Caenorhabditis elegans: one gene and its partners. The protein of the gene in region 1 interacts with the protein of each later gene in a pairwise test. Each region holds a gene or a part of one and is shown in the gene's direction. Other genes may lie near its edges. The genes, in order: gst-24, hpo-9 and ZK632.12.

Region 1 (3,177 bases):
ACTCCATACGATGATATTCGGATTCCAATGGCCGATACTGAAGGGAAATGGGAGAAAATGAGAGACAGTAAGTTCTTAAAGTGAAATGTGTTGCTTGTAGTTTGTAGTTTGTAGTTTGTAGTTACTGATGCCACACTTAATTTGAAAAAGTTTGAACTAAAAAACATTAAATTTCTTGGCTTTCGGGGAAAAATCTTTTTGTAGTTTGTAGTTTGTAGTTCGTAGTTTGTAGTCTGTAGTTTGTAGTTTTTAATTTGTAGTTTGTAGTTTGTAGGTGCTAGTTTGTAGTTTGTAAAAGGTTTTTTGGTACGAAAGTATTTTGAAAAATTAATTTTTGTCAAAAAAATAGTTTGTTACTTGTAGTCCGTAATTCGTATTATGTAGAATATAGGTTGTAGTTTGTAGTCTGCAGATTGTAGTTTGTAGTTTGTATATTGTAGTTTGTAGTTTGTAGCTTGTAGAAAGGATTAGATATTTCTGTTTTTTTTTCGTATAAATAGAAAGTCACTACATCCAGCTTTAGGGTTTCATAAGATCTTCAGGCGTACGCGCCTACTTTTTGCCTGCCTGCCTACGTGCTCTCCATTGTGACTTCTTGTTTAGCGCAGATTTCAAATATTTGTGTTAAGTATAAAATGTTCGATTACAAACTGAGAGTATGAACACACGATGGCAGACGTAGGCATGTAGGCAAGCGTGCCTACAAAGAAGACCTGCCATAATTAATTCAACTTCCAGAAACCCCATTTGGTCAGCTCCCAGTACTCAACGTTGATGGCTTCGACATCCCCCAATCTGCTGCAATTTGTCGATACCTTGCCAAGAAATTTGGTTATGCCGGAAAAACTCCAGAAGAAGAAGCGTGGGCGGACGCCGTTGTCGACCAATTCAAAGACTTCTCCGTTGCTTTTAAAACACTCCTTTTTGCCACAAGGGCCGGGAAACCAGAAGAAGAAATCCTCAAAATCCGCTACGAGATTTTCAATCCAGCTCGAGATGTCTACTTTATTCTTCTCAATCGAATTCTCAAAAAGAGCAAGTCAGGTTATTTAGTTGGTGATGGGCTCACATGGGCTGATCTAGTTATAGCTGATAATTTGCACAGTCTGGAGAAGCTTCGAGCCATCGATGATGATGATGAAGGACATCAGAATTTGAAAAAGTATAAGGAGAAAATCTATGGAACCCCAGATTTGGAGGATCATATTGCGACGAGAATGGATACAGAAGTCTAAATTTTGAATCGCGTTGAATTTTTAAAAACTGTGATAAAAGATAATAAACATATTGTAGTATTTTATGCGGATATTTTTTTACCGAAATACTTTTTTTTGAAATAATAGTGCGAGAAGTGCAACAGGGCTCCATATGATTTTTCAGTACTTTTGAATTTTTGAAAAAAACAGCTTTTGATGTATTTTCTGAACTTTTTAAAATAATCTTCCGTACAAGTTAGCAAATTTTATTTAATATTTTTTGGTATATTTTATCATGCTAAACAGTTTTATAAAAGAAAAATGAAGCACTTCATATGATTTTTCAGTACTTTTGAATTTTTGAAAAAAAAACAGCTTTTGATGCATTTTCTGAATTTTTCAAAAATTTTTCCAATTTTCTGACTTTTTGTTTTGTGACCAGTGTTTCTTCGCAAAAACACAAACCACTCTTCTATTTCTCTATTTCTCTCACTCTCCCTCCCCTCAATTTCGGAGATTTTCGAAACGACTTTGTGTATATAAAGTACTACTCAATCATCTCCCATCAACAAACAATGCCACAATACAAGCTCTACTATTTCAACCTTCGTGGATGGGCTGAGCCGGCTCGGCAGCTCTTCAAGCTGGCTCACGTCGAGTTTGAGGATGTTCGTATTGAGAATGGAACTCCAGAGTGGGGAGCGTTGAAGCCAAGTGAGTTTTTGAAACATTTTTAGTGGTATTTGTATAACTGTCACGGATTTTGAGAATTTTTTAAAAATCAGATACGGTGGTCCACTCTAAGCCTAAGCCTATGCCTCGGCCTATGACTATACCTAAGCCTAAGCGAAAGCCTAAACCTAAGCCTAAGTCTGAATCCCAACCCAGGAATCTTCCAGAAACCCCATTTGGTCAGCTCCCATTCCTCTCAGTCGATGGCTTCGAAATCCCCCAATCCGCTGCAATTCTCCGCTACCTTGCCAAAAAATTCGGCTACGCTGGAAAAACATCAGAGGAAGAAGCGTGGGTGGATGCAATCGTAGATCAATTCAAAGACTTCGTCACCCCACTACGCCAACTCATCATGGCTCAAAGATCCGGAAATGCGGAGGAAATCGAGCGAATCCAAAAGGAGGTCTTCGCGCCGGCCCGGGATACATTCTTCAAAATTCTTAATGGAATTCTTGAGAAGAGCAAGTCAGGATTCCTAGTCGGAGATGGTGTAACTTGGGCTGATCTGGTGATAGCTGATATTTTGACAACTATGGAGATGCTGGGAGTGTTTGATAAGCACGGAGAGGAGCAGAAGCTTGCAGCGCTCCGTGAGAAGGTTAATGAGATACCGGAGATCAAGGAGCACAACTCGTCGAGACCAGATTCTGTTGTTTGATATATTATGTGTATGTTAATAAAGATTATTATATCATAATGAGTGATTCTAAGGTAGGTAGGCACGCTTTCAGGCTGCCTACCACCTAAAAAAGATGGTTTTGACAGTAGGCAGTAGATCAAACGTATGTCTGTTAGAAGGCAAGTTATCTAGGCACGAGGCAGGTGTAGTTTGCCTTGAAGGCAAGCGGGCAGTCTGTGGCCTACGTAAAGGGTCTAACATAGACAGTAGGCATGGGTGTAGGCACAAAGAAGGCGTAAGTCACACCTGGGGAGTTTGCGATCAAAAGAAACATCCTGCCGTCAAATAAACCTATGCCTGGCTGCATGCCTTCCATACAAGCCTGACTAAATGCCTGCAAGGTAACCTATGTTTATCTGCATACCTACAAGACTGCCTATGCCTGCCTGCAAGCCTATGAAACTTTTGAACTTTTCGACAGAGATCATTCTAGAAATCCCATATTTTCGAACAAAAAAGTCATGTTTGTCATCATTTTTCCTACAAAAGACCATGAATCGTCGCCGCCATATCCAATTACAAATAAATCGAATTATCTTCTGAGATCAATATCAAGATGGCAGTGACCTC
Region 2 (4,564 bases), on another chromosome or scaffold:
AAATTTATCCATTTTTTAAAACATATTTTTGTTTTTTTTCCAAATTTTAATTTTTTTTTACTTTTTTTAGATTTTTTAAAAATTGGCATATTTTTGAAAATGTAAAAAAAAACTTTTTAATCTTTTTTTTTTTGGAAATACGATTTTATCAAAATATTTGATTTTTATTCTATTTCATTCAGTCTATATTGTTGGAAATATTTTAATTATTTCGAAAACTTTTTTTTTCCAATATTTTCTTTCTTTTCAAAAATTGGCATTTTTGATACTTTGATTTTTTCAATAATGCCAATACTTTTTAAAGTATTTTAATTTTTTCTAAATCAAAATTATAAATAAAACGTTCTTCCATCGCTACTACACAGTCACGACACTCTCAAACTGAATAAAATGAATTACTTGTAGAAATGATATCTTGTGACCGGATCATATTTTTTTGGTGCTCTTCCTGGTTCAAGTGACAACACATTCCGAGTCCAAACTTCTTTTTCCGGTCGTGAAGATTTTTGAAGCTCTGATTGTTCAGTTTCAGTGCTTAACCCCACGGAAACTGATTCAGCGATATTTTCCTCATCATCCACACTTGATCGTTCTTGTATGTCGCTGCCATCCAGTGATATTGATTTAAGAGTCTGAAAAAATATTTAAAACTTATTTTTTATAAAATAAAATGCACAAACATCTGAATCTTGACGTTCGGTTGGCTCACAGGATTCAATTTTATTATTTTTAGACTTTTTGAACATTTTCCAGCTTAATCTATGGAAAAAATCTTGAATGGAAGTCAGCATTTTTCAACAAAAAAAAAAACGAAAAAGTCAAAACCTCTGTGGCACCATTGCATGTTTCCATTGCACGATGTATGCTTCGCCACGCTCGATCGACCAGAAGGTTTCTCTCAGGATACTCGTTTGAGCTTTCATCGTCGAAATCGCTTTGTAACTCTACATTTTCGTAGATAAACCGTTTTCCTTGTCTTTCTGAAAAAAAATCACAGATTAATTGAAGAAAATCTTAAAACTTAACTCACTTCTAGAAACAATTGGGGACTGAATATTCAGATTTTCGGTTGGAAAATTTCGTTCTTGTCGTATGAATTGAGCGGCTGGATCAACTGATAATGAAGCAAATAGAGATTCATTCATAACGTCTTCATCGGCATCTGACAGACAAAGCTCTCGGTCGAGTAGATTATCAATTTCTGAAGAATACGATCTTTTATATTGGATTTAAATATTTTAGGAAAAAAAACTAACCATTCTTGAAAGTTGCAAATTGGTTTTTGTCATGTATATGGTGACCCATTTGATGAAGAATATCTTCGAGCTCGTTTTCAGTGGTAAAATTTGCCATTTTTCCTTGAAGCCAAATGCTCGATGAAGCGTGTTTTATGAACAAGGAGGAAATGACGTACACGTTAAACTACCCGTAACGTTTTGAAAATATTTTTGAGATTGTCACAATGATCTGATCAGTCACAAGATGGTGGGGTTTTTCTGTAACAACAAACAATATTGTTCGTGCAAAAAAAAAACAAATAAAAAACAAAAAAGCAAACGTGCTCTATTGAACGCCAGAAAGCGCGCCAGGTTCAAATCTTAAAAAAATAGCGCGCGCGGTGCCATTGCAAAACAGTGCGCCCAGATTGCCAAACATGACTCCGCCCATCATTCTCCTTGTTAAAAACTTTTCCGAATTTTCTAATTTTATCCCGAAAAATTAAATTTAAAATAACTTTTTTATTAAAATTCAATAATTAATGATAATGACGGGTTTTCAGGTACATGAGCGATAACCATGCTTTTGGGCGGCCGATTCAAGAAGATGGACGAGGAATTGTCGAAACTATGAGAACAGAATCCGCCGCCATTTCCAATAATTTTAATGCGGTGAATAGCGGTAAGTCTCTAAAAGCAGAAAAATTGACCAAAATTAGCTATTATTTCAGTTAACAAATCTGTTGTACAACATCTTGATGAGCTTTCACAAAGTTTCGATGAGATTTTCACTTCAACAGACCACTCCGATGTAACTCTTGTTCTCGACGATGGAACTGAATTTGCTGCCCATCGTTTGATCTTGGCTGTGAGAAGTAGCTTTTTTCGAGCTATGCTCTATACAGGTTTTCAAGAAAGCCATCAACAGCTTGTGACTCTTCAGGAAACGAATTCAGTAGCCTTCCGAGCTGTTCTTCGGTACATGTACACATCGAAAATCGATTTTGCCGGAGTGGAACTGGATATTTTGCTAGAATATCTCAGTCTGGCACATCGTTATGATTTAATTCAGCTTATGACAGCAATAAGCGAATATTTCAAGGAAATTTTGAAGAATGAGAACTTGTGTAGTATTTTCAATGCTGCATACTTCTTTCAATTCACTGATCTTATAGATTATTGCATGCAATATTCTGATAAACATGCAGATCAGCTTCTCGAAGATCCCAGCTTCAACCGATTATCAGGAGATAGTCTGAAGGAGCTTCTTGCGAGAGATTCATTTTTTGCATTAGAATTGAAGATCTTCAATGCGGTACGTTCATGGCATCAGAATAATCCAACAATGAAAGAAGCATCAAAAGTTTTGCTGGAATTGGTCAGACTTCCCCTTATAACACAAACCGAACTTCTTAATTGTGTAAGACCAACTGGGTTGGTGTCAGCTGATACTCTTCTGGATGCTATAGAAGTTCAAACACAAAGACCACACGAGATTCCATTCAGAGGATGCAAAAGTGAGTTGAATTTTATTTATTTTCTGTTTAATCTATTCCATTTTATAGGCCTCGACACGAATATAATTCCACACTATCCACACGCACAGCCATTGTCACGAGAGCTCAGCAGTCGCTACACTAATGACGAGAATATTAGTGTATTTCAAATTGATCTCGGAAAACCATTCATTATCAATACAATTATGATGGATTTTAACTGGAAAAATGAAGTTCAAGCATTTACATACCAAGTTCACGTTAGTATGGATAATCGAGTTGATGCTCATTGGAATCTAGTTGCTGATTACTCGGAATATGATTGTCGAGGAACACAAAGACTCTTCTTCACAGATTCTGTTGTGCGGTAAGTGATTGATTTTATTGTAAAATCCATTGCATTAATAGTAGAAATTCAAAAACATTTCGGCGGTTTTGGAACTAACGGGCGAAGTTTAATTGATCTATTTTTTATTCATTTTCCGAAACATTTAAAACTTTCGAAAAAAAACTACAGCGCCTATAGTAATTTTCTACAGAAAACCCGTGAAACTCGAAAATTATTCACCATAATTTGCATTTCAGGCATATTTTGATCCGAGTCAACAATTCAATGTCGTGTAAACTGGAAGGAAGTCGAATCGAAGCCATGTTCTCTACCGAAACAATGCCTGTCGAACCTGTGCACAAAGTCATAGGTATCACATTTTGCTGTGGAAATGTAATATAATTTCAATTTTCTCAGTTCCTCATCGAAACATCACAACGATAGAAAATCACGCACGGGTTGTTGAAGGAGTTTCTCGATGTCGGAATGCTCTTATCAACGGGGATTCCTCATCCTACGACTGGGATACTGGATACACGTGTCATCAAATTGGAAGTGGTCTCATCATGATTCAACTTGCTCAGCCCTACATTATATCTTCAATGCGAATTTTGTTATGGAATTGTGATGATCGATTCTACTCGTATTATGTTGCCGTATCGAAGAATCAAGACGAATGGGTTACGATTGTCGACCGCACCAATGAAGAATGTCATGGATGGCAAGAACTCATATTTGATCCTCTTCCAGTTGTGTATATTCGACTTGTTGGTACCCGGAATTCCATAAACGAAGTCTTTCACGTTGTACATCTCGAGGCTCCCTCAAACGTTCCAATTGCCATAAAATAAAACCGGGTTACAGAAATATATATAATGCATTATTTCACTTAAATGTCTGATGAAAAATAAGTTATTAAATTTATTGAATAAAAATGTTAATAATTTCTTTTGAAAAAAAACCACATACACGGACGCCACACACCGAAAATAAATTTATTTTTTTATTTTCTTTATTCTTGAAATTCTAACCGTTTTTTTCAGATTTTTGAGAGGGATGGCGAAGCGAGAACTGAGGAAAAGTCTCAAATCAGAGATAGAAAACCTATTCAAATCACCAGAACAAGCAGAACATGAATTTCAATGTAAGGGGAATAAATAAAAAAATAAATTCCAGGAAAAGAAATTAATTTCAGGTGCAACAAAAAGACGTCGATTAACAAGCTCTGAAAAACCAACCAAGTCTCCTAGTACAAGTAGTGATGATCCATCCAAGCCAAAATTAGAGTTAAGGCTGTCCCGACTAGGTGATGGCCATCGATTAGACTGCGAAAGTAATAATCCACTTTAAAATCCACAATTTTCGCATAGTTTTCCAGCTCTGGCTCAGTTTATTCACTTCAGCATATTTGGATCATCACTCCAAAAGCCCAGATGGGTCAGTCTATCCCATCATAGAAATGTCCTTCAGAACCTAGTGGTTCGTGTCAATGTGGATGACGATTTTTTCGTAAGGGATTGCAT
Region 3 (4,030 bases), on another chromosome or scaffold:
AAAAGCGGAGAAACGAAGAGCCAAATCAACTCCGAAACATAAAAAGTTCGCTAATGAAGATGATGATGATGTTATAGTAATCACAAGTGATGAAATCAAAATTGACAAGTTCAATACTCCGGGAGAAGTAAATTAAATTAAAATAAAAATTCAATATCAGTTACTTTTCCAGGAAGATTCCATTATAATACTCGACGGCTCTGCTTCAACAGAAGAAAAACACCTTTTGACTCCGATTCGAAAAGATGTAAAACTAGGAGAATCGATGTTTGAATTAATCGGAACTCCAGTGTTTGGTAGCTCTCTTCTTACTCCTGTTGCTCCACTTGAAGCGTTTGCCGTCGGAATTCAACCATTTGAAGCAAGAGAAGAACTTACTGGATGCAAGGGAAACTTCAGAAATCTCATGGACAAATTGAAAGAAATCCGCGAAAATAACTTCGTTCCGGAGCCTGAAGAAGAAGTTATTTTGGTTTCAACGAATGAAATTTCGTCGTCGAATAACTCTGGAACTGCTAAGAACAAAAATAATCAGAACAGGAAAAGAAATAGAAGACATGCTAAATGAATTGGCTTTTTGAAAAATCCTTTTGTTGAATTATTGTTGTTGCTTAAAATTGTTGTTGTTGTTCCATATTTTTACGCAAAACTACCATGATAAAACCTTTTTTCTTGATTTTCCAACCTCTCTCTTGTTGTAAATGGTTCCGAATGTCCACAATCTTCTATTTTGGTCATCAATTATATCTTTATCTCTGCGTTTCTTTCACTCTTGCCGCTTTCCGATGGATTGGTGACACACAGCAAATATCGGTTTTCTCAATTTAAACTAAATTGGTCTAATTGGCTTATGTTTAATCAGATTATTTCGAGAAACCTGTGAATATTAAAAAGATGGTATAGGTTTTGAGGGATTTTTTGCCGAATTTATTTTTTAGAAAGTGATGGAATTTTTTATGATTGCAAATTTTTTTAAAAATTATTTAAAAACGAGCTGAATTATTTTTTGAATTCCCGCGCAAACGAATTCCTAAAGTTTCGACGTTTTCAGGTTATATTATTAAGGTTTTTATTAAATTATTGATTCGAAACATAATTTTGTAAAACTTTCATACATTTTTTCCCGCAAAACAAGTTTACATTATTGATTTGAGGCCAGATTTAGAGTTTCAGAGAAGTTCTTTAGATTAACAAAATAAAATAAAAAGAAACCCCAATTAATATAGCCGGAAAAAGCAAAAAATATCGAAATTGTGTAGATCACTTGCGCGGGAATTCAGAAAAAGTTTAGCCTTTTTAATCATTTTTTTTCCAAAATTGAAAAAAATCATTTAAAACAATGTTCAAATTTTGTAATTTTGTTACAGTTATTTTCGGTAAATATATTGAGATTGTTATTGTTAATTAGAAGGAAAACCTACAAAATCTGCTCCCATACCATGCATAACTATATTTAAGATCCGAAATCTTATTCAAAAAAGTAATAAAATTAATTGAAACCTTTTTTCCAGGCCACCAGTTGTTCTTATCATTCATTCGTGACAATTTATTCATTGCATTCTTTTTCTTTCGTTCAGGCAGCGGTCCACTGGCTTGTCCATCCGATTGTTTGCACATAAAGTGTATGATGACTCATCACATTCCTTTTCCCTCTCTTCTTATTCTGTTCTCACTCAAAATAATTTTTTGTTATGATTTTCAACCTTCTTCGTCTCGAACTAAATTTATGAATTTTTTGAAATATTCAAAGTTTTCAGCGGATTCTTTCCATCGTTTCTAAATCACAAAACACAATGGTTGATCGACTTGGTAAGTTTTATTTATTTTCTTTTATAAAATAATTTATTAAATTTTAGTGAATAGTGAAGTGAATTCCCGTCGAATGGCTAACGTAGAACAATGCTTTGGAAAAATGGGAGAACAATTGTCGGTATTCGGACGAGTTCTTGTCGGAGAAGGTGTTCTTGTGAAAATGTGCCGAAAGAAACCGAAGCAACGGCAATTCTTCTTGTTCAATGATATTCTTGTATATGGAAACATTGTGATTTCGAAAAAGCGATATAATAAGCAAAGAATTCTAAGATTGGAAGGTGTACAAGTAGAAGATCTGGAAGACGATGGAATTGAGAAACATGGATGGATTATTAAGACACCTGCAAAATCGTTTGCAGTTTATGCAGCAACTGAAACTGAAAAACGAGAATGGATGTTGCATATTGAGAGATGCGTTACAGATCTCCTTGAAAGAGGTAATACACGAAAATTATTTTCAAAAAATTTCCACCAAAAAATTGCAGAGAAAGTTTGAAACCACCGTAATCTTTAAAGGCGCTTACCATTTTCCGTTTCAAAAAATCTTGTCGTTTCGAGACCGAAAACCGTATTTTTAATGCAACAATCGCAACATTTTTCGTCTAATTAATATTAAGCTTAAATAAGTCTTAGGCGCATTGTGGTCTTTTTATTTAAAAAAATGTTGGCAGCAATGTTCAATTTAATTTATAAATTGTGATGCAAAATTGGTCCATAGATCGACAAGTTACAGTAATTTGTTGTCCGCCTGGCGAGACCCATGCGCCTAAGATAGGTGAAAAATTCTCATATTTAAATGACCAATAATATACGTTCTACAAAAAAATTGGGAATCACCATATCTCTAAATTAAAACGGTTTTTTAGATAAATTATTTTTTTCTATTAAAAATACAATCAAAATTTTCTACTTTCAGGAAATAAGCAAGCCGCGACTGCTCACGCAGCTGTATGGGTTCCCGATGGTGAAGCAGTGAAGTGTATGGTCTGCGGGAAAACTCAATTCAATCTGGTTCAAAGAAGACATCACTGCAGAAATTGTGGACGTGTCGTGTGTGGCGCCTGCTCATCGAGAACATTCCGTATTGACAATGTACATAAGAAGCCTGTCCGAGTTTGTGATCATGTACGGTGAAGTTTGACACTTTATCGTCTAAATATCATGATTTTTCAGTGCTTTGACAGTCTGAGTAGTGCCACACCAGGACAAGAAGAAAGTGAACCAAAAACGGGAAATCGCTTGCACCATGAGGATTCCTCCTCGGATAGTGAAGACGAGGTCAATGGTAGTGGACGATCGAGTAATGAGAGCCGGGTATACTGAATATTGCCTAATCTTTCAATAAACATACAAATTTCAGCCAACATTCTACCGTGAGGACGTTCAGCAGCCGGCAACATAGTTCAACGCATATAAACTACGATGAAAATTCTAAAATCCACGTCCTCATTCCTACTACTAAATTAATATTATATTTTCTTAAACGTTCCTGTGATATACAGCAATTGTACGTATTTTTTTTTGTTGCTTCCAACGACTTTTACAATTCCTGAAAAAAAGTTATTTCCTTTTTCTTCAATTCAAGATTATTCAGAACTGCACAAAATTAAAACGACCACATGACAGAAGGAATCATTTTAATAATCATGAATTACAGAAATGATCAAATTTCTTGTCCTTACAAGAAACAGCGCAATTAACTGAAGTGTTCAGAGAAACGTATGGTCCATTCGGCTTGGAATCATATAAATGTTCTTAAATTATTAAAAGTAAAATAAATGTTTTATTTACATATGATTAGTGAAATCAGAGCACAAAAGTGTGCAATGAAAAATAAATTTTATTTTCTGGAGTACTGTAAGCGGGCACATGGTGTATTGTACGCAGAGTTCTTCGAGTGTTTGCGTATCCACGTTGTTCTCCACGTGGACAAAACGCGCGGCACGTTTACTTTCTGAAAATTCGTTTTATTTTTGCATTACTGTCTTCTTAAAAGCTGAAAATGGCTGCAAACGAAGTGTAAATTTCATAAATTCCTAAGCTTTTATTCATATATATATATATATATATATTTCATCATGTCCTATTTTTGCAGTGATTCCATGGAACCAGGAGAATTGATGGAAGTGGATACGAGCCAGGAGCTGGATGAAAACACTTCGGCGAAGGAAACGGACCAGCCGAGTTCGTAATAATGTTACCATTCGAAATAACCTTG

What was found.
Region 2: the proteins of gst-24 (region 1) and hpo-9 interact in a two-hybrid assay, tested with the Caenorhabditis elegans proteins (one large-scale study listed by BioGRID).
Region 3: the proteins of gst-24 (region 1) and ZK632.12 interact in a two-hybrid assay, tested with the Caenorhabditis elegans proteins (one large-scale study listed by BioGRID).

The regions. Positions count from the first base shown.
Region 1 is NC_003280.10:13,609,889-13,613,065, reverse strand, and holds gst-24 (glutathione transferase), read left to right. Parts: upstream 1-1,699; 5' UTR 1,700-1,771; coding exon 1,772-1,910; intron 1,911-2,095; coding exon 2,096-2,586; 3' UTR 2,587-2,623; downstream 2,624-3,177. Other genes in the region: gst-15 (glutathione transferase), read left to right, coding at 1-67, 739-1,235.
Region 2 is NC_003283.11:7,234,347-7,238,910, reverse strand, and holds hpo-9 (BTB/POZ domain-containing protein 9), read left to right. Parts: upstream 1-1,780; 5' UTR 1,781-1,784; coding exon 1,785-1,899; intron 1,900-1,948; coding exon 1,949-2,734; intron 2,735-2,782; coding exon 2,783-3,080; intron 3,081-3,298; coding exon 3,299-3,411; intron 3,412-3,458; coding exon 3,459-3,892; 3' UTR 3,893-3,989; downstream 3,990-4,564. Other genes in the region: Centriolar and ciliogenesis-associated protein hyls-1, read right to left, coding at 400-632, 826-980, 1,031-1,201, 1,257-1,353; C05C8.5 (Exonuclease domain-containing protein), read left to right, coding at 4,098-4,185, 4,237-4,374, 4,420-4,550.
Region 3 is NC_003281.10:9,829,045-9,833,074, forward strand, and holds ZK632.12 (uncharacterized protein), read left to right. Parts: upstream 1-1,757; 5' UTR 1,758-1,793; coding exon 1,794-1,809; intron 1,810-1,856; coding exon 1,857-2,249; intron 2,250-2,728; coding exon 2,729-2,937; intron 2,938-2,985; coding exon 2,986-3,126; intron 3,127-3,172; coding exon 3,173-3,214; 3' UTR 3,215-3,379; downstream 3,380-4,030. Other genes in the region: ZK632.11 (uncharacterized protein), read left to right, coding at 1-127, 173-568.